Linked DNA regions of Drosophila melanogaster. The protein of the gene in region 1 purifies or fractionates together with the protein of each later gene. This does not show direct contact. Each region holds a gene or a part of one and is shown in the gene's direction. Other genes may lie near its edges.

Region 1 (8,255 bases):
GAAGAAGAAAAAGAAGAAGAAGCAGAAGGACGAAGAGGTGGAGGCCGTTGAGGAGGCGGCAGCACCAGAGCCCGAGGATCAGCCAACACCAGCAAAGAAAAAGAAAAAGTCAAAGCACCAGGAGTAATTTCCCACCTTGACTAGTTAGTAGGCCTTAAGTTTTAGCATCATAGGTTACCTTACTGTAAAGTATAGGATTTTATAATTACCAAAACGATTAAAGTTTCCGGTGTACATTAGAAATAAAATGTAATATTTGCATAACAAAATACAAATGTTAATATGTTATTCGTATTGGTTTTGATATACTTAATTCTTAAGAAAGCAATTGCAATTGTTTAATGTCCTTTGATTTTAAGAACTAAGCTACCTCTTAGGCATTCAGTTCTTGTCTGCGAAGCTTAGCAACATATTTCAAAAGCAGCTCCCAATTTTGGAGGCCAATCCGTCACTCGCTGCGAGGTAAAAAGTACGTTTGACTGCGGTAAAGGGACCAATGGAGCAGAAAGTTTTTACGTCAGCCCCAATTGCTTGCATCATGATGCCAGGCCCAGTCATTTTGACCATTTTGTGGTCAACGGCGTGGTATATAAATGCGATTGCAACTGGTGCCATTTGAACGAGAAAACTATGCGAGATGCATGGTCATTTTAAGTTGCTGCTGGTCCTGGGACTCCTGCTGACTTACGCGGCAGCCAAGAAGAAGGAGGCCTCATCATCCGAGGAGGAGGAGGGTGGCGACAAGTACGAGAAGAAGAAGTTCGGTGACGAGGAGCACAAGGGTGAGCACGGACACAAGGAGCACAAGGAATGGGAAGAGGACGAGAAGAAGCACCACGAGGTGGAAGACCACGAGCACCACCACGGCGACAAGGGATCGAAGAAGAAGAAACACTACGATGAGAAGGATGAGCATGGTGAGAAGCATGAACACGGCGCTCACAAGAAGGGCGGCAAACATCATCACAAAAAGAAGCACAAGAAGGGTCACAAGGAATTAGAATACCACAAGAAGTTCAAAAAGGACGAGTACATCAAGGAGAAGAAGTTCTACGATGATGAGCACAAGGGCGGACATCATAAGAAGTATGGAAAGGAGCACCATCATCATGCCGAGGAGCACGGCGAGCACAAGAAGGGCGAAAAGCACGAGGGCGGCAAAAAGAAGGGTCACAAGAAGCACCACGGACACTACAAGAAGGGTCACCACGACGAGGACCACAAGAAGTACAAGAAGGAGCACAAGTACGGCGACAGCTTCGAGGAGAAGAAGGAGCACGGCGAGAAGGGCTCCAAGAAGCACGGCCACAAGCACTACAAAAAGAAGGGCGGCAAGCATTGAGCAAGCTATATTATACATGTGATCTTTATGTGAAATGCAGAATTAAAACTGGGAGAGGTTCTAGAATATTATACTGTCTTGTGTTTTATTCAATAAGCTGTTAAAACTTAATCTGCTAAAAGCTAGTTTTGATACTTACAATGTTTCAAATAATATAGCACACTATAATATATTTAAATGTATTAGTATATTAGTATATACATATATAAGGTAGCTTAAATTGTTACGTTTTTTGAAAAGCCTGATAGCTAATCACGACGATTTATCCCATTTCATTTCCAGAAGCAACTCATTCAGCAGATCTCGGAGCACATCGCGACGCAGGCGCACTCGCTCCAAGTCCGGAACTCGATCCCGCAGTCGCTCCGCCGGCTCGGTGGGCCGTCGCTCCGGCCGCTCGAACGGACGGGACGAGAACGGATCGGCGTCGAGGTACAGCGACCACGAGCGCAACGGCAGTGGAGCGGTAGATTCACCGCCGCCGCCAAAACGGCGCTATGAGGATGAGGACGATGACCGGGTTAGGGGATCGCCGCGGTCGCGTTCCCGATCTCGATCGGCGTCGCCAGCGGTGCGCCGTGGATCGCCGCCCAGGCGTCGTGGTGACTCGTCCGCCTCACGATCCGTTTCAAGGGACTAGCGACAGCGAACGGATGCAGACGGAGCCCGACATGCGATGATGAGGGCCGGAGCTGCAACCCCCCGATGAATCCGGCGAGATGGGCTCTCCACGCACTGGACTCTAATCCTCATTCCCAAAAGAAACAACCTCACGTGTAACAAGACAGATTCCCAAATACTTTTTCATGCAGTATCCATCTAAGGTTTTTAGTTGTCCAAAACCATATTAGTTAAGGGTTTTAATTTATAGTGGAACTCGAGTTTGCATATTTAGGTATTCTAATGTTCCAACACAACAACAAATACAAGCACACGCAGAACAAAGGAGAGCGCTTCGGAAAATCATTTGACGGAAGGAAATTTAAGATATAGAAATGTATCGGCAGCCGCAGATTAACGATCTAGTCAGGATTGCTATGTAAATTGATTTGCCTTGGATTTTATTTTGCTTACCCTGGAATTATACTCGAATGTGCAGAGGACGAAGCATCGCCACCATTTTCATGTCAATTTTACACAATTTTCAATTTATGCAACACAACAACTTGATTATTTGACTCCAATCTCTGTATGATGTGTTTCTATATTCGTAATAATTAAGTATTGCAACAGTGCATAATAATTATTCATACATTGATGTCATAGTTAAGTATTAAAAAAATACATATGTATGGATTCTTGAGATGTGTGTTTGAATTATGTAGCAAATGCGCTGAACACTAAAATACAGATATTCAATCAATAAATTAAATGCCAAAATTAGTTGTTTTCCATTTGAATTTGGCGGGCTTTATGCGGTCTTGAACAAGTCTGGTCACTCAGTTTAGAAGTAGGTGCGCATTATTTAAATTGGTATTTTTGCCAGATGTTTAGTATTTTGTTTGTTTGGTAACTCTGCACTTCCAGTTACTTAGTATTTTTTCAGTCAGAGCTGGTATTTTATTGCGCATCGGGTACGGCCACATTATTAGACTAGCATTCCTCCAGTTAAATTTTGTTTTGTGTTTTGTTTTGCATTTTTTTTAACTATTGCCTTTACTTTACTGCCGCCGGCTTCCATACAAATAGTTCTGAAATCAGAAATAACGAACAGAATCGTCTTTCAACGTGGTCAGCTGGACAGCTACAGCAACAATGGCATTCCGCCAGTCGGAGCACGAGATGAGCGTCACCTCACTCGATTCAAGCGTCGAACTGAGATCGCGTTCGCCATCGCCGCAGGTCTTCAATCCGCGCAAGCTCCGCTTCGCCGATGATGACTTTGACAAGGACACGCCCGAGGGAGCGAGTCCGCAGCATCCCCTTCAGCAGCGGCCGAAGCTATCCTCCGGTGAGGAGCAGCAGCTGGACAGTAAGATAGGCAAAGAAGGCGGCGACGGGGACGTGTCCATGTCGCCGCCATGCCAAAAGGTGCGGGCCCTGCGACTCTTTAGCACACCGGCCACTCCAAAGACCATCCTGCAGAAGTCGACGACGCAGTGCAGCAACCATCTGTCGGCGGCAGCAGCGGCAGTGAATGCCTCCAGGCGCAGCGACGACCTCTTCCGCCTGTCAGAGCGCCCGCGATCTCTGCCACTGCACAACCGCAAACTGCCCACCCAGGACACGGCAAATGTGAACCCCTTCACGCCAGATAGTAAGTTTAAAACGTTTCTCGCTTTTGATATTTTAATTAAATAAAGGTATCAATTTCCAGTTCGTTGCTTTAATTTGCACTCCACTTTAACCCATCCCAGCTTAGTCTTATTAGCAATCTAATAATCATTTTTTTTATTTTTAGGCCTCATGGCTCACAATAAGAAGCGCTGTCGCACGCAATTCGGACGCGAAAACCTCAACCTGAACGTGAATGCTATGCAAAAGTATTTGCTCAGTGATGCCTGCGACGACGATGTGACGGAGGAGGCGGGCGACTCGATGCGCGAAATCCACCAGCAGGCACCCAAGCGGCTGGCCCTGCACGACACGAACATCAGTCGCTTCAAGCGGGAGTTCATGCAAGTCAACGTAATCGGCGTTGGCGAGTTCGGTGTGGTGTTCCAATGCGTCAATCGACTAGATGGCTGCATATATGCGATTAAAAAGAGTAAGAAGCCGGTGGCAGGCAGTTCTTTCGAGTGAGTATTCATTAGTTATTGCAACGAGCGTCGTTTAACAATCTATTTGCTTGCAGAAAGAGAGCCCTGAACGAGGTCTGGGCCCATGCTGTATTGGGCAAGCACGATAACGTGGTTAGATACTATTCCGCGTGGGCGGAGGACGATCATATGCTGATACAGAATGAATTCTGCGATGGTGGCAGCTTGCACGCGCGCATCCAAGATCATTGTTTGGGTGAGGCAGAGCTAAAGATTGTTCTCATGCATGTGATAGAGGGCCTACGCTATATTCATTCAAATGACCTGGTGCACATGGATCTGAAGCCCGAAAACATATTCTCCACCATGAATCCCAATGCACACAAGCTGGTGGAGGTGCAGCCGCAGCAGACCAAAGATGACGATGGCATGGACAGCGTCTATGAAGAACTGCGCCATTCAGAGAATCTGGTTACGTACAAGATCGGCGACCTGGGACACGTGACCTCCGTTAAGGAACCCTACGTCGAGGAGGGAGACTGTCGTTACCTGCCCAAGGAGATCCTTCACGAGGATTATTCGAATCTCTTCAAGGCCGACATATTTTCCCTGGGCATCACGCTGTTCGAGGCGGCCGGCGGTGGTCCGCTGCCTAAAAATGGACCCGAATGGCACAACTTGCGAGATGGCAAGGTGCCGATTCTGCCGAGCCTGAGCAGGGATTTTAACGAGCTCATAGCCCAGATGATGCATCCTTATCCCGACAAGAGGCCCACTTCGCAGTCTATATTCAGTCATCCGTAAGTAAATTGAGTCGACAGTATAAGCGACAATCATATTTAGTTGCATTTAAGATAAATGTGCTCACACTAAATACATATAATGTTCGTTTAATTTGCAGAATTCTGAGTGCTGTTGACTCCAAGAGCAAGCTGCAGCTCGGCCTGGAGCTGACCGTGGAGAAGCGCAAGAACGAGATACTGATGAACAAGCTGAGAGAGGCCAAAAAACAGATTAAACTGCTCGAGCAACGAGGTAAGATAAGATAAATAGTTGTATAACAACTTAAACTTTAAGGTGGTTGGTTATCTGGATGTTTACAATTTCTAACGTTTCTGCAACTCATTTTAGTCAATCTTCTTGCGGTGACTAACAATCCGGACAGTCTGGATGGACAGCGTTGCCTTCGCAGCTTCACGCGACGCATGCGCACGCCATTCTCCAGCCATGGCAAGTTCGACAGCATATCCGATCGCAACAAGAACGTTATCACCAATATCTGATAAGCTCGCAACAGATGCCGAACCGATAGCTAAACTCTTCCGAATCGAACGTGAACTAAGCTCACATTGTGTTACCTTTTAAGCGTATTCATATAATCGATACATATTTCTAACTATTCGCTTTCGTTTAAGCTCATGGATTTTGAAGCATTCGTAAATATAATCTATATATTTTTCAAGCTCAGTGAACTTTTCCCTGTTAAGAAAGCACAATCGTTTTAAGAAAAGCCCCTTGTAAACTTTAAGATTCTCGCATAGTTGTAATGAGTATTGTTTTCGAAATTAAAATATTTATTATGTTACATGGAAATCGAAATAATAACATTCCATTCGTTAAATATAGCGAATGCTATTCCATAAAAACTACTGGATTTATTATGACTCCGGATTTAAAACAAAATGTTTGCGAAGTTTTTCTTAAATTCAATTGTTTACTCCACTAGAAATTGTTTTGATATTATCCAATTTCCTGTCAAATTATGTTCCATTTTCCTTATCTGAAAATAACAATCGTCTCATTTTTTTGTATTATCCAGCTAGTTTGCTTTTTTTACGCAATCAATGGAAAGAGAAATGATCATTATTGTAATTTGACTTATTTTCTTTGAGGCACTAAGACTAGATGTTGGCTGTAAGCTGCTTTGATAGAAATGCAATGGGTATTTCATTTAAAGAACAAACTCAGAACTTGGCATGAGTTTGTTTGGAAATCCTTAATCAGTATATTTTCTTCATTAAAAAATAATGTAAATTAATATGGATTACACTTTTGTTATGCGCTACATATTATATTGTTTGTATGATACACCTAAAACCGTCTATAATTCTGATTCTGTTGCCTGCTGCCGCCTTGTTGCTGGTAGTTGTTGTTCCTTGGACCATTATAGTTGTTAAAGTTGCGCTGCTGCTGATTCGAATTGTCCTGGTTGAATCTCTGATTGTGGCCATATTGCTGCTGCTGTCGGTTATTGTAGTTGTTTTGATAGCCGCCACCCTGGTGCTGATTGTAGTTATTGTTGTAGTTGTAGTTATAGTTTCGGCTATTGTTCTGATAGCTCTGTCCTTGGTTTCCGCCTATTCCCTGGCCGTAGCCGCCTCCTTGCCCGTAGCCTCCTCCTCCACCTCCATTGCCACCGCCACCCTGTTGGTTCCTTATGCCAGCGTTCAGCATGCGGTGACCACTATCCGGAACGTAGGCCCTGGTCAAGTGGCTATTAAAACCGATGACGGGACGATGCTTGTTACCAGACTGCTCATTTGGCAGCACCTGTGGCGGATCTACGGCGTTTTCGAGGCGCTTCGCTTCGAAAATGTAGTCTTCATCGTATTCCGGATCCCTGAACGTGGTCGTCACGGTTATATTGTCATTAATGTCCGATAGCCCGGAAATCGGCGACTTAAGAACGCCGCTGATGGCAGTGTTTAGTTCGGTTTTTCCCAAAGTGCCGCGCATACCGTCAAATGAGATGGCTTTGCAAACGCTCTCATCATCCTTTTCGCTGATTTTCTTCACCTTTTTGTAGTGCGGACTCTGATTGCTGATGTACAGGTAATTGTCTCCACGCTTGTTTCGCTTCACCTCCTCTCCAGTAAGTTGATCATAGTAGGGAACCAAAGCCTTGAAGAGACGCTTCTCATCGACGAACGGCAGCAGAGCCACTCCCTGCCAGGCGAACTTCTTGCCATTCAGATCGATCTTAAAGTCCTCCGGATAGAAGTCAATGATCGGTGACTCCGGATCGGACATGAGCTTGGCCCACGGCTCGGGCACGTGTGAACTACTGGCTGCCGGAAAGACGCCCATCAGTTGCTCGAGCGGATTAAACGGCTTTGTGCCCTTTTCGAACATCGTGGACAGTCCCTGGATGTTGACAAAATCCGATGCGAAGGGTGCATAATGGTATGGGAAGTACCAGTTCCAGGAGGCACAGCCCTGATAGTAGTACTTAAGAACCCAGCACAATCCTCGGACATACTGCAGGGCTACAGCGTATCGGAACTGCTGGTTACCCGGTGCCACGTCAAACTTGGATTCGTAGTAGCGGTCCTTGAAGCCATCCTCCCACAATCGCACCTCGTCGTTATTCTCCTCCTCATCTTCGTCATCCAAATTGGCCATGTCACTCGTCCGTTTTCTATTACGAAGTGCCGCGGCCTCCTCCTTGTAGTTGCCGACGCTCCTTTGCTGGCTGTTTGGACCCACGGCGCTGGCGCCAAAAGCAGACTGATTCAAGGATCCGTGGTCCTGATTCCTTTCCTGCCTCTTGCGCGCCTTGTCCCTGGCCTTGAACTGCTCCTCGCGTCGCTGTCGGCTCTTGAAGATCTGGTCCTCGGCATTGCCCAAGTCGGTCATAATCAGCTGCACCCGGTCAAGATTTACATCTCCCGAGTCGGTGAGATAGCCCCTTGTCTTGTAAACGCACTTCTTGTATAACTCCACCAATCGATCTACTGCACCCTCGCGAATCTCCAGGCTAGGCAGGTGGGGCAGAAAATCATTGCCCACAAAGAAGCACATGAACACCCAGTCGTCCAACGCGCGCTCGAAACTGTACTCAAATGGCAGATTCGGCATCTCAAGAGTCTGCTTTAGGTACTCGCGTAGCACACTCAGCCGCACAAAGATGAACTTTACCTCGGCGCCTATGGGCACATCGGGCTTAAAATTGGCGCTAGTTGGCGCAGTCGCTCCGAGTCCGACACACTTGTCCATCTCGTGGCCAAATCCGTTGCAGATGTCGCAGGGACGCGGCTTATTCGGCAGGAACTCCTCCCGAATGATTGTGAAGTTGGGCTCGTGCGTGGCCAGACCCAACATGATGAGATCGGCGTCGGCTCCGCACAAGACGTGCTGCGTGTTGGGATCGTGATCAGGCTGGGCACGCTGCTTGCGAATGTAATCCATGATCTTGTGCTCACCCTCACCGGGCA
Region 2 (7,416 bases), on another chromosome or scaffold:
AACATACTCATGGCCGCAGGGATGCAGGGAGTCCTGGAGCGGCACAAGTACATACTGCCCAATAGGCGGGCGGAACTAAAGCTGAATCAGCACGATATCAGCGAGCGGCAACCGTGGCTAGTGGTAAGGGATCAGCCGGGCTATCACCACTATGTGACCTGCACCACCGTCAAGGATTCACGGGTGGTGGCCAATGTGAGTTGTCGGGTTGAGCATCATACCAAGAATCTGATCCCAGTGCCCAGGGACGATGAGGCGCAGATAGAACTCTGGTTGCGCTCCTTCTTTGCCAAGGTGCGCTTCCAGAGGCCCATCAATGGGCATATAAGCTTCCGCCTGGTCAAGAGCCCCGCCCATGGTGGTCAGTTCGTGCCTCTGGGCACGCGACTGGGCGTGGCCCTGCCCTACATATGCCACAATCGATCGCATGCCCAGTTGCTGTGCCGTGCGATGAAGTGCATCCACAGGCGGGGACTGCCCGAGGATGAACTGCCCAACTGGAGCTGGTCGGCGCTGGAGAGAACCACTTCGACGACGGCGCTGGACAAGCGGGAGGCATTGTTTGCCTACTGGGATCCACTACCCTATTGCGCATACTATCATTTCCAGCTGCCCCTGAAGAACGTGAAGCTGTTTTTGCAGCGCCGGAATCGCAGCGCGACCAAAACCTTATCGCCACGCATCACGGTGCCGGTTCATTGAACGGAGCGGCCGGAGCTGGAGCCACTGCATCGGCTTTAAGCATCGAACAGCAGCATCTAGCCTCTAGCATCCAGCATCAGGCGTTTCTTTAGCGAGAGAGATTACACAGACTGATCAATAATGGAATATATAGAAATCTATATAGCATATATATGTACATATATATATATATATATATATATATATATATATATATATATATATTTTTGCATTCTATACTATTTCTTTTTTTTTGTTTACGCCATTGGGGTTCAACATCCATCTAAGAAGATTAGGCCGTTAAAAAACAAACGTGTACCGCTCACACACACACACACACACACCACATACACACATGCACGAATATAGCTTTTATACCACAATATATTGTACAATAAATAATATTTATATTTTAATTGCCCATTTGACTTAATTTTTTACTTATGCGAACTTTATTTCGATTGGAACTCAGCTTGTTGTGCGGCACTTCTTTGTTATGCGATTTGAAGATGACTTGAGCTTAATAAGCTTAATAATATTTGGGGTAGTTTCTTCATATATCATGATATATATAATAAATATAATAGTTGGATTTGTTTTTATTGTTTAGTTACACACTCTTTTGTTCTTTGCGTAATTCACTATACTTAAAAACAAGGAAATTTCTTTTCACTTAAATATTAGAACGTTAAATCTAGAACGTAATATCGTTAGATCGTTTACACGTTTTCTTTCTATTAACCGCACATATTCGTATCTTCTATTTACCCATTTATATTAGTGAACCATTTATAAACTGCATCTGGCTGAATATTTAACACGTTGCACACGTTACTCCTTGTCTAAATACACAAACCGAACTGACCAGACGGGTTGTAAGGGTTTGTCCTTGGTCCTTCGGCGGTGCCTGCACTCCTGGCGGTGGTTGTTTTGGCCTTCTGCTTCCTGAACGCGGCCAGTTGTTGTGGACACCTTTTGGGTAACCAGGCAACGGCTTTGGGTCAGCTTAATTGCGGTTGGTTGGTGGTAACTGAGCCATTTCCATTATCCTTATCAATGGGCCAGCGAAGTGCATGAAAAGGTGGAGAACACTGCACCACGAGGCCAAAAAGAGAAATTTGAAAATGATTTGCATAATTTATGAGGTAGAGAGCCGTCTCTTATTTCTAGTGAATAAATTAACTTAAATTGGTTTAAAAAACTCCTAGATCTAAAAAAAAGTAAACAGATATTGCGAAATGGAATGATATTTAATCTGTTGAAATCAATTTGTTCGGTTATCACTGACTCATGTTCAGATGAATTAATTTGTTAATCTAATACTCTCTGCCAGGGAAATTAAATAATTTTCCTCATCTTATTAATGTTATTAAAAGAGTCATTCTAAAAAAAAAAACAAATTTTACTTTTGCCAGGTGTGGGGTTCGAACCCACGCTCTCTCTCGAGAACCAGAGCTTAAATCTGGCGCCTTAGACCGCTCGGCCAACCTGGCTGAGAGAACCTGCTGTCAAAAATTAGCATATATCTTTTGCTCGCCTGATAGAGGGATTTTTGTTTATTAAATTTTTGAAATAATGCATTAAATTATAATTATATTATTTATAATAACACAAGAGCGAATTGTCTTAAAAAATGTAACCACAAAATGACCGATTCAGCACAACTACTGACATGTAGAAATATGTAGGCTATTTAATTGCCATCGACACCAACCAAATTTTTAACCCCTCTCTGAAATACAGGTTACCCCTACCTCCATGAAAAATTTGTGTTAAAAAGTAGCTGAGTTTGTTTTTATAAATCCACAGTCCACACATGTTCCACCCCAAAGTGTGACCGTACATGTCCTATTGTTTTGAAAATTATCTTTGAAGAGTTTGTGGTGTTTTTTCATCTTAAATAAATCTTATCTTATTATAAATAAAAAACGTTATTTTTTTGAATTCAAGATAGTTAGTGTATTGTATATGTGTATTAATAGTGTTTAATTCGGTTTTAACCGCGTTCATTTTAAGCTAGATTTTGGTGTGACCAGCTGACAACGGAGGCAAAATACGGAAGACTTTGTTAGACGTATTGGTGTTCTATGTGAAAAAAGGCCAGCTCCAAGCATTGGAGATTGGATGTGGAACAATGAACAACAGCCCCAAGGATCCCTATCGTGGAGGAGGAGGAGGTTCTGGACCCCAGGATGGCGCTGGATCGACCGGTGTGTCTATCAACATCGAGAGCGACGACAATGACTCGACGACGGCGGAACACGACTACCTGCTGCCTGCCTCCTCATCTTCGGTGACCTCTGGTGGTGGCGTCGGAGGTGGAGGCGTCGTCTCTGGAGGATCGACCAGCACCAGCGTAAACCTGGACCACCAACACGTTCCCACGGCGCGGAGCAGCAGCCTTAGTGGTGGTAATGTCCGTCATGGTAACATTCTATCCACATTTTTGGCCCGTCAGCGCTCGTACACGCCAGCCAGCAACAGCAGTTCCCCGGTGCGGGTGACCACACAGATGAACCGTCGTCTTCAGCAGTCCCGTAGTATGGGCGCCAACACCGGTGGCAGTCTCGAGGAGCCGTCCAGCGCCGGAGCAGCAGGTGGACCAGGAGCATCGCCAGGAACTGCGGCAGGTGTTCGACAAATGGGCTTTTGGCGTGTCAACCTCAACGATGTCTTTTCGCTTTCAACTGCCTCGTCGACAGAGGCGCTCCGATCCTTCATCTCACATTCCAATTTTAGATATCCACCTGCAACCACTGCAGCCCCCGCGGCACCAGGACCTCAGCCAGCCGCCAATCCCGTAGACAACTCGCACATACTGCTCGGCCAGCAGCAACCATCAATGCCTGAGCCAGTCAGCCCTCTGCGATACGGGCGCGTTTCGGCCGTATCTGGAGCCAGTTCAGCTGGAGCTATGGGTAGAAGTATCTCGCTGCGTGAGGGTGAGATGCGACACAATCACAGCCTTAACGGAGGACGGCACAATGCCAGTGCCATAGGACTAAACAGCAATCCGGCGGCCTTCGACGAACGCGAAGCAAATGAGAGCCAAGACCTTGACGAAAGCGATGGCAACGTGGAGAACGGAGGTGGAGGTGGCAATCCACCAGAGCCAGCAGAGAATAATCCAGAGGATGAACATCTCATCTCGGATGACATGGTGGTCCAGATTCTCAGCCATTTTGTGCGATATCTGCCGCTTATCTTTATACTGTTTTTCAAGTTTTTACACGACCACCTGCTGGGCATTGTGGATCTTCTGGTGCTGCAGACTGTGATGTATAATGTTAACCGATCAGTACGCAATCAGGTAGCCCGTCTAGCTCAGAAGAACTACGCCGTGATGGTGCGGGATACTTTCCTCGTTGCCGTGGTGGTTACAGTGCGTCTATTTTTGGCCACTTCGCCGCCAGATCCGTTTGGACTGATTGTGCCGCCTTCCAGAAAATCCGTTTTCATAGAGGTCACAGCGCTGCCTTTTCACACTAGCTCGGAAGGCGACAGCCCCACAACATCGTCCGAACCCATCAAGACCAACATGTACAAAGATACGTACAAATCTCTAAATGTGATCCCACTGGGCATGTTGCTGTACTACATTGCTGTGAGCGATCTCATTATCAAACTGCTGACAATGCTGGTCAAACTTATTATTACCATGCTGCCGCACCACTTGATGAGACTTAAAGTGCGGGTGAGTAATTCCTTTCCACAGGGATCAATGTGCGATAAATTCCCAATGCCAAAGCATAAAATTAACGCTAATGATGAAATCTTAGTTCATGCATTAACAACTCAAAAATATTCATAATTTCAATTTAATTAAGAGCTTACATTATCAAATGGAAAATGGAAAGTCCCATTTGTAATATACATTTCCATTTATATACATTGATTTCGCATTTCAGGCTAGGCTTTATGTGTTGGTGGAGTACATTTCGCAGTTCTACCGGGCAATGACACCCATTACCCAGTGGCTCCTATTTCTATACGAGTCCTACTCCGGCCTGGAGGTGGTTTCCGGAGGACTCTTTTCCGCAATGTACCTGGGTGCCAAGATATTTGAGCTGGTGGAGCGCGGCAAGTCGCTAAAGAAAGCCATTGTGACCTTCAGAAAAAATATTGTATGAATGCCTGAGACTTGATTGTTATGTACACATTTCTAATACACATTTATTCAAGGACTCTGAGCGGCCGCCGACCAAAGACGAGCTGGATGCTGCGGGTGCCCTGTGTCCAATCTGCCATGACGCCTTCAACACACCCACTGTGTTGGAGTGCGGCCACATTTTCTGTGATGAGTGCGTCCAGACCTGGTTCAAGCGCGAACAGACCTGTCCGATGTGCAGGGCGAAGGTTAGCGATGATCCCGCCTGGCAGGACGGCAGCACTACCTTCTTCCATCAGTTGTACTAGCTGCGCCACCAAAGAAATTTCCACGGATTTCGCGTGTACATATAGTCGCTAGCTAGCCCTTTGTTTAATTAAACTGACAGTTATTAATTATTACTACAAGTCATGAAATAGCTTATTATATTTTTGCATTTTTGGTAAATTAGCTATTTGCGACGCTTGGCGGCGTCCAGAGATCTGGCTTCGTAGAACTCTCCATCACCGCGGGTGGCCTTCTTGTTGATCTCCAGGTGGCGCTCTTTGGTCACAATCTCTTCCAGCACCTCACTGTCGCCTTTGATGAGCCGGACGCGACCCGTCACCGGGTCCACCTCTTTGCGGATCTGGCTCTGACGGCGCTGGTATTCCTCTGGAGTTTCCGGGGCATGTGATTTGCTATTCATCAGTGCTTGGGTTTTGGGGTGGGTTTAGAGTGTTCAGCAATAATAAATATATACAGGGGGGCTCTTACGGACCTATTGGTATGGCAAAGTCATCCTCCTCCTCCTGGTTGACCCTTTCAGGCTGTATTGGTGTTGGTGAAGCTATCGGCGGAGATTCTTCCTTTTTTCGGTTGTGTTTCTTGGATTTCTTTGACTTGTGCTTTTCCTTGTGTTCCCTGCGCTTCTCCTTATGCTTTTTCTTTGATTTTTTCTCACTTTTTCCCATTATGCGGCTTGCAGGTGAACGTAAACAAACTGATTTTTGAAGAATGACAGCAAAAATTCGATACTCTGATACCCTGTAACCAAATGTGGGGTATGTTGTGTCAGCGGTGTTGCTGCATTCTTAAAAAATATTTTGGAATATATGTTTACTATTTATGTAATTATTCATTTTATTATTGATTACATTATAAAGTAAATTTTTATAATTATTGGAGTTGAAATAAATGTTGGTATTTGAGTCACTTAATTTCCCTAACAAACAACGGAAATTAATCAATTTAACTCGAGTTGAAAAATTAATGAAATTAATGAAACATATATACCCACTTCAGTAGGGTATGTAACTGCACTACGTGCAGTGCTGGCCAATGTCAAAATTCTTCTTCGACCTACAGCACTGGTCGATTTTGACAGCGCCGCGTGGAATGTGGATAGCAAGTGGAACTTAATCGGACGCATGTTGTGTTGTGTACAAAAAGAAACGTCAAACTAAAGTCGAGCGAACCAAAACTAAACGGCCAAAAAATAAGCAAACCCACTGATAACCGGAAAGGATAAGGCACAGGAAATACGATTGTTTACCAGAGAGAGCGGCGGACCCGTAGCGAACCGCTCCCCGAAAAAGCGGCTGCCCCAAAAAATCGCCCATAAGAGAATCCACCAAAAACCCATTTGCCCACACACACACACACACACAACACACACACGCGCAGCCAAGGAGCAAAAGAAGAATTGCGCCAGAAGAAGCAGCAGCATAAAGAATCTAGTAGTGCAAACACCCGGATCCACAGGTACTCGTTCCAGAGGTTGGAACAGCGCCACAGGAACAGCCAAGCAGTCAGCAGGAGAGCACCAGTATCAGCTACCAGTCAGCATCATAATTGCCAGGATGAGCATGGAGAAAGTAGCCAACAAGCAGTACGAGACGTAAGTGGAGCACCTCCGCCACCCACGCGCACCGCCTGCCACACACAACCACAATCCCAGCCAGCAACAAAACTGGGCCAGCACCATCTTTACTTGGAAAATTGTTAGGTTATGTTCTGGGTGCATTTACGTGCTCCGAATCGCTTTATTAGTCTCGATCCTCTTCTGACTGGCGTATTAGTACCTCTGCGGCCAGCTGCTCGTCCTTGTCGCAGGCCAGATAGGCCTGAACGGCCATCACACGTTCGAAACCCAGTGCCTCCAAACGCCCTACGGCGGCGGTTTCTTCGGCGGTTAAAGTAATCTGTAAATGTTCAATCTCGTTCGGGGTGCGACTTGCGCCGCCTGAAATCATGTTCATTAACTCCTCCTGGTTACGCTGAAAGACTTCGAAGGTAGCCGGATCGGTTTCAGCCAGTCTGTTCATTAGTCTGTGTATTAGTTCTGGATTCTGATTAATCATCTCACGCATCCGTGTAATGTTAAGATCTGCCATTAATTGCTGCAATTGATCACTTGTCTGTACGCTCGGGATTGCAGCTAATCCCTGCTCTGAAACAACCTCCTGAGGAATCCCATTAATCAAATACTCTATAGCCCTTTCCGGATGATTAAAGCTCGCCCGGAGGGCTGAGCGTACCTCCTCTTCGCCATATCCCATTGACATGAGATCGCTCACCCACTGATCATTGGGAGCTAGTGAAGGCACCACATCCTCTGTGCGCAAAACATTTGGGCCAGCGGCCAA
Region 3 (7,771 bases), on another chromosome or scaffold:
TACTGCATTCGCTTGGAGTGCACCGATGACTATCTGCTGTTGATACGCCAGTAAGTTTCGAGATTTGATCGCATGCCCTCACTATATCCCATTTCGCCCAATCCCTTCCAGCTGCGACAAACAGCCATGGCCGCGACCTGGCTGCCACCTCTCACCCAACGACTATGATTTCAAGTTCCCCGAGTGCTGTCCCCAACTCGAGTGCTCCGACGAATACTAGATACAAGATACTAGATCCAAAAGCATCGATCTGTTCGGAATTACTATTTCTATTTAAACTATAATCCATTGATCTTGTGGCAAAGTTAGCCAAAGTACTAGTAACAAGTATAATCTTTAGTTAAATAAAAACATATATAGTTTAAGAAACTAATGATGTTATCACTGGAACTGCAGCTGTTTCGCCAGCCTCCGGAACGAATCTGTATGTAACGAGAATTTTCCACCTATTTGATAAACCCGAGGACCCCTGAGACGCAATCGCACGGGAGCACAGGGATCTTGACCTTTCAGTCTAATCGCTGGCGCACCCCGAAACAAGTGGAACTATATAGTCGCCCAGCCGAGCGATCCGTTGATCAGTTAGCTACATAATATGAAATCGGTCACGTTCGTACTCTGCCTGCTCGTTCTGGGCGCCCACTCGCTGCTGGTGTTCGCCGGTAAGTGGATGCAGTGCATCGTCGCCACAAACCATTCAATCCCGCATGTTCATCTTGTTCATTCGTAGTGGATTGCGAGATCGGTGGGCATCAGTTCAAGACCGGAGAGAAGTACACGCCGGAAGGTCGCTGCCTGCAGTACACCTGCCAGGCACCCAAACAGGTGACTGCCTTGGGGTGAGTAGCTTCTACATGGATTGATGACTCCTTGACTCACCCACCTTGCCACTTGTGGCCATCCAGATGCCCGGCCATCGCCTCCTTGAAGCCCTGCAAAATGGAAGAGGATCTGAGCAAACCCTATCCCGGCTGCTGTCCCAAGTTCAACTGCTGACAACGCCTCCCTCGCAAGTCGAACTGCAAATGTGAAATGAACTATGAAAACTGAATATATAACTATAGAAACATACATACCTTAAATGAGAGATGCAGTTGGATGGATGGTTATGAGGGGTTCATACATAATTAGAATCAAGTTTGCCAGTTCTGCGTTTACAAAAACCAAAATAGCGCATTTATTTCGATTTCGATTTCGGTTTCGGTTTGGTATACATGCTTGAACTTAGTCGTATTTGCTCTCATACATATAGTAAATAATGTGTATACATATATAAATATTCTCGTGTCAATTGCCACTAATTCACCATTCACTTGGACATGCACACTGTTCGCTTGCATAACAAGTATATATGTATACATATATCTCTGCTTAACTACATCTACATATCTGCATTTGTATAGTTCTCTAAAATAACGAGGAGCAGCTTTATCCGGCAGTGACAAACTCGCACAAATCCTGTCCAGATACATCCGTATCTGCATCTGCATTTGTATCTGCAAATCCTCGACGGCGGTTGCCATTAGATACTCGTAATTGATTGCATTCACTAACGCAGACACAGGAGCAACTGGGTCTTGCATTAACGGATACAAATTAATGGGTATACGGTAGAGATACACAAGTCCAATAACTTGGGCTGCAGCTATACTTGTAGCATTGTCGATTTAACCGATTGTAACCTGAGCTAGTCTAAACATTCTTTAACTATGGTCCGGCGGCCCGAGGGCCATTAAGTTGATGTGGGCTTACAAGTTAGTACAAATTGCTACACTTTAATGCTTAATTGGGACAAAATGGATCTTTGCGTTTGCTATATGTCCGTGTTTTTTTTTGTTTTTTTTGTTTGGGGGTAATTAACCTAGATGAGGCCGATCCTCGCCTCCTGGTCCATTTCACTCCGGGGTCGCCAGCTGCGGCGCCAGCGACTCCTCCTCTCATTGGCGCGCCGCACGCTCCGTTTCCATGAGGCATTCGCGCACCAGGATGCGGGCATGGACAATGCCCCGCTTGAGACGCTCCGTGGAGCTGCGCGAGCCCGTGTACGTGGGCCGGATATCGCGGCCCATCTCCTCAATGACGGCCAGCAGCTGGGCGTACTTGGTCAGCCCATTGCCCGGGCCCACTGAGGGCAGGCTGGCCGTGGAGGTCAGCGGCGTGGTGATATTGGCCGAAGTTTGGGTGGTCACCACCACGGGCGAGGTGGAGGGTGGCGGGTACTTTAGCTGCGATGAGCTCAGATTCAGGCCCATGCTCTGGCCATTGCTGCCAGAGGAGGTGGAGGAAACGCCGGCACCGGAATTCCGCTGACCACCATTGCTGGAGCACATGTTGGCCAGCGAGAGGGCCGCAGCGGCGACGGCTGCCGGCGTGGCCGTCGTGTTCGACTGCTGCTGGAGTAGCGCCAGCTGGGCCTGGAGGAACTGCGGGGAGTATTGGAGGGCAGCGACGGCGGCGGCAGCTGCTGCTGCATTGGCCGCTGCAGCGGAGCTCTGCTTGCTGGACGAGCTGCTGTAGTCGCTGGCGGAGGAGCGGTCCCGCTCCCGCTTGCCACCGCTGCTCGTGGAGTAGTCGGTGGCAGCGTTGGATGAGTTGGATCCGCCTCCTCCGCCAACGGATCCACGCGAGTGGTGGATGGCCGATATCTGGATTTGGGGCTGCTGCTCGCGCTGCTCCCGCTGCTGCTGGTAATTGTAGAAATTCTGCACTTGGCTGCGCGGTATCGGTGTCACCGTGACGTCACTCAGCTTGGACTCTACGGCCTGGATATCCATGATGTCCATGGTGGCGCTGGGCGATGTGGTGTCTGGAGTCGATATCCGTCGGTTGTTGTGGTAACTTAACTATGTCCACCTTTCCGTTTTCCTGGCACACAAAACTACTAGTTTTTAGCGTTTCTTTTTTGGTTTATTGTTTTTTGTGATATGATATCGATATCGATATCAGGAGGCGTTATTACGCTTTCCCTTCAACGCACAAACAAATACACCCCCACCAACAAAAGTCGATGGTTCGGATTATAGTATCGATAGACAAGCGCGATGCAAAGTGCCCACCTATTCGCGTCTCGAATGTGGGTGTTTCCACTGTACAAGCAATTTGTATACATGTGGAAAGCTCTTTGTCCAAATTGGTAAATGGCTAAATGTTTTTGAAAAAAAGATAATTAACAACCATAAAACTACAAGAAAATTACAAAATTTAACCCAAGTGCATATGTATACATGAATGACAAAACGGTAAAACCATGCAAATGAATAACCATCCACGTCGAATAATACCTAGTTCACCCTGATAAGGCACTCCCAATTTGTCTTATTAAACAGCTAATTTTGTTAGGGCTTAAAAATACCCAACGTTATGTATGTCTAGTGTTGTCTAGTTTCGGGGGGCGGAAAAGCCAATTGCACACAAATATACAAAGTATTGCCGAAACGTTGATTCTTTCAATAAATAAGGCACATTTTAATGAACTTATGCTTATGCCAACAAAAGCGGTCGCTTATTTTTATTACTTATTGATATAAATTCCAAAACAGCTGACATTTTTAACGGTTACTTTGCCTAGTGTTGGCCAAGACATCAATCTTAATAATAAACTCTCAAGTTGTCAAAATTATACTTGTATTTCTACTAAAAAGTCATAAATATACCCAAAAACTACTTAGCCAATAGTAACCCTGCTTAATATGGATTTTATTCACTTATTAACACGCCAATTGTCTCACTTTTCAAACACAACGGCTGATTGCCAGCACTGTTTGCGCTGCAGTCCAGTGCTGCGCAACGCGGCGGGGACAAAAAACAATGGCGAGGCGAAACTAAAAAATTGTGTTGCTGACATCTGGTCGCTTGCAAAACTATTTCTAGCAGATTTTGTGATATTTCGTTGTGATCGGTCGATAAATCCGCCAGTTTTTTTTTTAATGGAAAGTGCTAACACATTGTAGCGGTTGGGAAGATAGCAGGAAAGGTGAGCGAAAGGCAGAAGATTGCGAAAAATTCAATTAAATTTCCGCGACCGTCTGTTTTCTGCATCGGTGTGTGTTTGTGTTTGCTCGCAAGTGTGTGTGGGTGCTCTGTGTATGACGTAAAGCGATAAAGCAAACGCATTCCCCCCACTCCTTGCATATGTGTGTGTGTGCAAGTGTTGTGTTTCTCTCTCATCAGTTTTGCATCTAATTAGGAGCGGAAAGCATTGATTGGCTGCCAAACGCCGCGGTTTGTTGTTTTTTTCGCTGCATTTCGGCCAAAAGGCTTGCCGCAGCTGCATATGTGTCGCTATGTGTGTGTCAGTGTTGCACAGTGCCGCCAGTGCCCACAAAATGGGCGCACAACAACAAAAGCAGCAACTCGGTTGGGATTTTCGCGATCCTACGCTGGCTCGGAGCTCCCCTTTTCCTATTTCCAATTCCCAGCCAGCGGGCTGCCGTTTTTCCTTTTTGTTATCCGTTGCCAGACGCAACGAAAACGACAGTTGGCATTTGAATTCAGCACAAACACACATACTAACGCCGACCCGCAAGCAGCACACACACACACACTGGGACACTCGAAAAAAAAAAAACAGACGCTGTCGGCGACCTCGACAAGCAGTTGGGTTCGATTTAGTTGTCAATGCCTTGAATTCGGTTCGGGGCTTAGTTTCCACAAGTTTATCGCTCGTCAAGAAACAACGAAATAAAATTATTTTCGACCTAAAAAATCTGACTAAATTGTGTTTTTTGTTTATGTATTTATTTAGGCACATTTTGCACACCACAACGTAGTTACTACATCTACGACTAACGGAACTCCTCCTGCAAGCAGTGGAAGTTGCTGTCCATCAAGCAGTACTCGGAGTTAACGCAGGATAAGCCGGGAGAAAGAGAAAGAGATCGGTGGAGAATAGAGATATACAGGTGGAGTCAAAGAGGAAGGATCATGGACATGATTACGGTGGGGCAGAGCGTCAAGATCAAGCGGACGGATGGCCGCGTCCACATGGCCGTGGTGGCGGTGATCAACCAGTCGGGCAAGTGCATCACAGTCGAATGGTACGAGCGCGGCGAAACGAAGGGCAAGGAGGTAGAACTGGACGCCATACTCACGCTCAATCCGGAGCTAATGCAAGATACTGTCGAACAGCACGCCGCCCCGGAGCCCAAGAAACAAGCCACCGCGCCGATGAACCTCTCGCGTAATCCCACACAATCGGCTATCGGTGGCAATCTCACCAGCCGTATGACCATGGCCGGAAACATGCTGAACAAGATCCAGGAAAGCCAGTCGATTCCCAATCCGATTGTCAGCAGCAATAGCGTGAATACAAACAGCAACTCCAACACTACGGCCGGCGGAGGTGGTGGCACCACAACGTCGACGACCACTGGATTACAGCGTCCACGGTACTCGCAAGCTGCTACCGGCCAGCAGCAGACAAGGATCGCCTCGGCGGTGCCTAATAACACATTGCCCAATCCCAGCGCGGCAGCCAGTGCTGGTCCGGCGGCACAAGGAGTCGCCACTGCGGCCACAACCCAGGGAGCTGGCGGCGCTAGTACCCGGCGATCGCACGCATTGAAAGAGGTGGAGCGACTGAAGGAGAATCGCGAGAAGCGACGCGCCCGACAGGCCGAGATGAAGGAGGAGAAGGTGGCGCTGATGAACCAGGATCCGGGCAATCCAAACTGGGAGACGGCGCAAATGATACGCGAATATCAGAGCACGCTGGAATTTGTGCCGCTGCTCGATGGCCAGGCCGTCGATGACCATCAGATCACAGTGTGCGTGCGCAAGCGTCCCATTAGCCGCAAGGAGGTCAATCGCAAGGAGATCGATGTCATTTCGGTGCCGCGCAAGGACATGCTCATCGTGCACGAGCCGCGCAGCAAGGTCGACCTCACCAAGTTCCTGGAGAACCACAAGTTTCGCTTCGACTACGCCTTCAACGACACGTGCGACAATGCCATGGTATACAAGTGAGTATCCAATCCAAATAACAAGCTCCAAAACAACTCCATATATGGTCTGTTTGAATTACTAGTAGTGATTCTAAACAAACGCTCGATATGGTGACCACACATTCCAATGTCTTGGGGAGGCTTCTTCAATTACTAATGCGTATCCTTGCTAGCAAACGGCTTTATTTCAATTGAACTGAACTATAGAAAATCTTATTTCGTTATAGATGACCCTCTATAGCTATCATTCAATCTTAAACCTAATTTGTTGATGCAGTGGAATCATATATAGTATAAAGCAGCATATCCTTTAAAGAAATCATTGCCCCATTTATCAGATTTCCATCGAGTAACCAAATGTGCCAGTCACTTTTCGAGCTCGTTTCGTTGGCGCATCTCTGTTAGAGCGACCCATTGAGTCATGCCGACAGAGACGGCAACAGAGCCACACACATGCATCATGAAAGCGGTTGCTCCCGAAATAGCCAAGTTCGTTGAATGACTAACTTGGAAGCCCCAGACGCTTCACCTGCCCCCGCCCGGCCACTCCGTCCGCCGATCTGCACACGAGCTCTCTAAACCCAATTCTCCAGCGGAAGAGATTTCGAAAAAGTAACTGCCTTGTGGCCCGGCATTTGTCCATTAGCAATTGTTTGGCTTCAATTGAATTAAAGCTGCTACGGCTGCTGCTGCCCCTTTCCTTTCTCCGCCAACTTCTTGCTTAGCTTCTCTTTCCGGTTTTCGCACTCGTATGTATTGTGTGGCTGTCGGGAATTGGTAATGCCATTAGTTGCGTCACGGCAATCGCTTAAGTATAGCCCAAAAAGTATACCCCATGAGTAATATAGCCCGGCATTAATGCACAAAATCTCGCCGATGATAACGTAGTCTCGTGTTGACAAATCCAAATGGGTGAATCAACTGCTGACATCGTGCGTTATCAATACTCAGTATTGGCAGAAAACAATGCAACTTACACATTTATTGATTACATTTCAATATGCGTTCCTTAATTAGTCGTATGTATAATTCTTATCGATAATCATTTTTACTAAGCAACTGCTAACTTTGAATGCAAATCGATGTATTTATCTATGATTAATGCTAAAGTCTGAAACACAACAGTCCATATAGTATTGAATGCTTGCATATAGCACATATCTGCATTGAATAACCATGCTAATCTATAATCTTGCACTTCATCCGCGCAGATACACAGCCAAGCCGTTGGTGAAAACCATTTTCGAGGGCGGAATGGCGACGTGCTTCGCCTACGGCCAGACGGGATCGGGCAAAACGCACACCATGGGCGGTGAGTTTAATGGAAAGGTGCAGGACTGCAAGAACGGCATCTACGCCATGGCGGCCAAGGATGTCTTTGTGACCCTGAATATGCCGCGTTACCGCGCCATGAATCTAGTCGTCTCGGCCAGTTTCTTTGAGATTTACAGTGGCAAGGTGAGTGAGACAACATACAACTTGGCATGATTATCATACTTAGCTGTATTAATCGATCGTTGTGTTGTTGCCATAGGTCTTCGATCTTCTGTCCGACAAGCAGAAACTGCGCGTCCTGGAGGATGGTAAACAGCAAGTGCAGGTGGTGGGACTCACCGAGAAGGTGGTCGATGGCGTCGAGGAGGTACTGAAGCTCATCCAGCACGGCAATGCTGCCCGAACATCCGGCCAGACGTCGGCCAACTCCAATTCGTCGCGTTCGCACGCCGTTTTCCAGATTGTGCTGCGGCCGCAGGGCTCGACGAAGATCCATGGCAAGTTCTCGTTCATCGATCTGGCGGGCAATGAGCGGGGCGTGGACACTTCCTCGG

Evidence for each region.
Region 2: the proteins of Wee1 (region 1) and CG13605 purify together in Drosophila melanogaster (affinity purification with western blotting, with the first as the bait; one study listed by BioGRID). This does not show direct contact.
Region 3: the proteins of Wee1 (region 1) and Klp10A purify together in Drosophila melanogaster (affinity purification with western blotting, with the first as the bait; one study listed by BioGRID). This does not show direct contact.

The regions. Positions count from the first base shown.
Region 1 is NT_033779.5:6,908,770-6,917,024, reverse strand, and holds Wee1 (Wee1 kinase), read left to right. Parts: upstream 1-2,886; 5' UTR 2,887-3,097; coding exon 3,098-3,599; intron 3,600-3,743; coding exon 3,744-4,080; intron 4,081-4,136; coding exon 4,137-4,841; intron 4,842-4,942; coding exon 4,943-5,076; intron 5,077-5,172; coding exon 5,173-5,324; 3' UTR 5,325-5,935; downstream 5,936-8,255. Other genes in the region: nop5, read left to right, coding at 1-127; CG32829 (uncharacterized protein), read left to right, coding at 638-1,342; x16 splicing factor, read left to right, coding at 1,625-1,982; Rat1 5'-3' exoribonuclease, read right to left, coding at 6,133-8,255. UniProt on the Drosophila melanogaster protein: Acts as a negative regulator of entry into mitosis (G2 to M transition). This kinase specifically phosphorylates and inactivates cyclin B1-complexed CDC2.
Region 2 is NT_033777.3:24,107,722-24,115,137, reverse strand, and holds CG13605 (uncharacterized protein), read left to right. Parts: upstream 1-2,748; 5' UTR 2,749-2,815; coding exon 2,816-4,375; intron 4,376-4,589; coding exon 4,590-4,805; intron 4,806-4,863; coding exon 4,864-5,097; 3' UTR 5,098-5,194; downstream 5,195-7,416. Other genes in the region: CG13607 (uncharacterized protein), read left to right, coding at 1-702; CG18428 (uncharacterized protein), read right to left, coding at 5,241-5,482, 5,550-5,742; CG10694 (uncharacterized protein), read right to left, coding at 6,817-7,416; eIF4EHP (eukaryotic translation initiation factor 4E homologous protein), read left to right, coding at 6,631-6,668.
Region 3 is NC_004354.4:11,133,069-11,140,839, reverse strand, and holds the start of Klp10A (Kinesin-like protein at 10A), read left to right. Parts: upstream 1-3,721; 5' UTR 3,722-3,973; intron 3,974-4,061; exon of another isoform or gene 4,062-4,744; 5' UTR 4,745-4,923; coding exon 4,924-5,960; intron 5,961-7,153; coding exon 7,154-7,400; intron 7,401-7,476; coding exon 7,477-7,771. Other genes in the region: CG15199 (uncharacterized protein), read left to right, coding at 1-50, 112-220; ssp7 (short spindle 7), read left to right, coding at 596-662, 731-839, 906-996; CDK2AP1 (CDK2-associated protein 1), read right to left, coding at 1,938-2,783. UniProt on the Drosophila melanogaster protein: Required during anaphase to drive sister chromatid separation to promote flux by actively depolymerizing kinetochore microtubules at their pole-associated minus ends, thereby moving chromatids through a 'poleward flux'.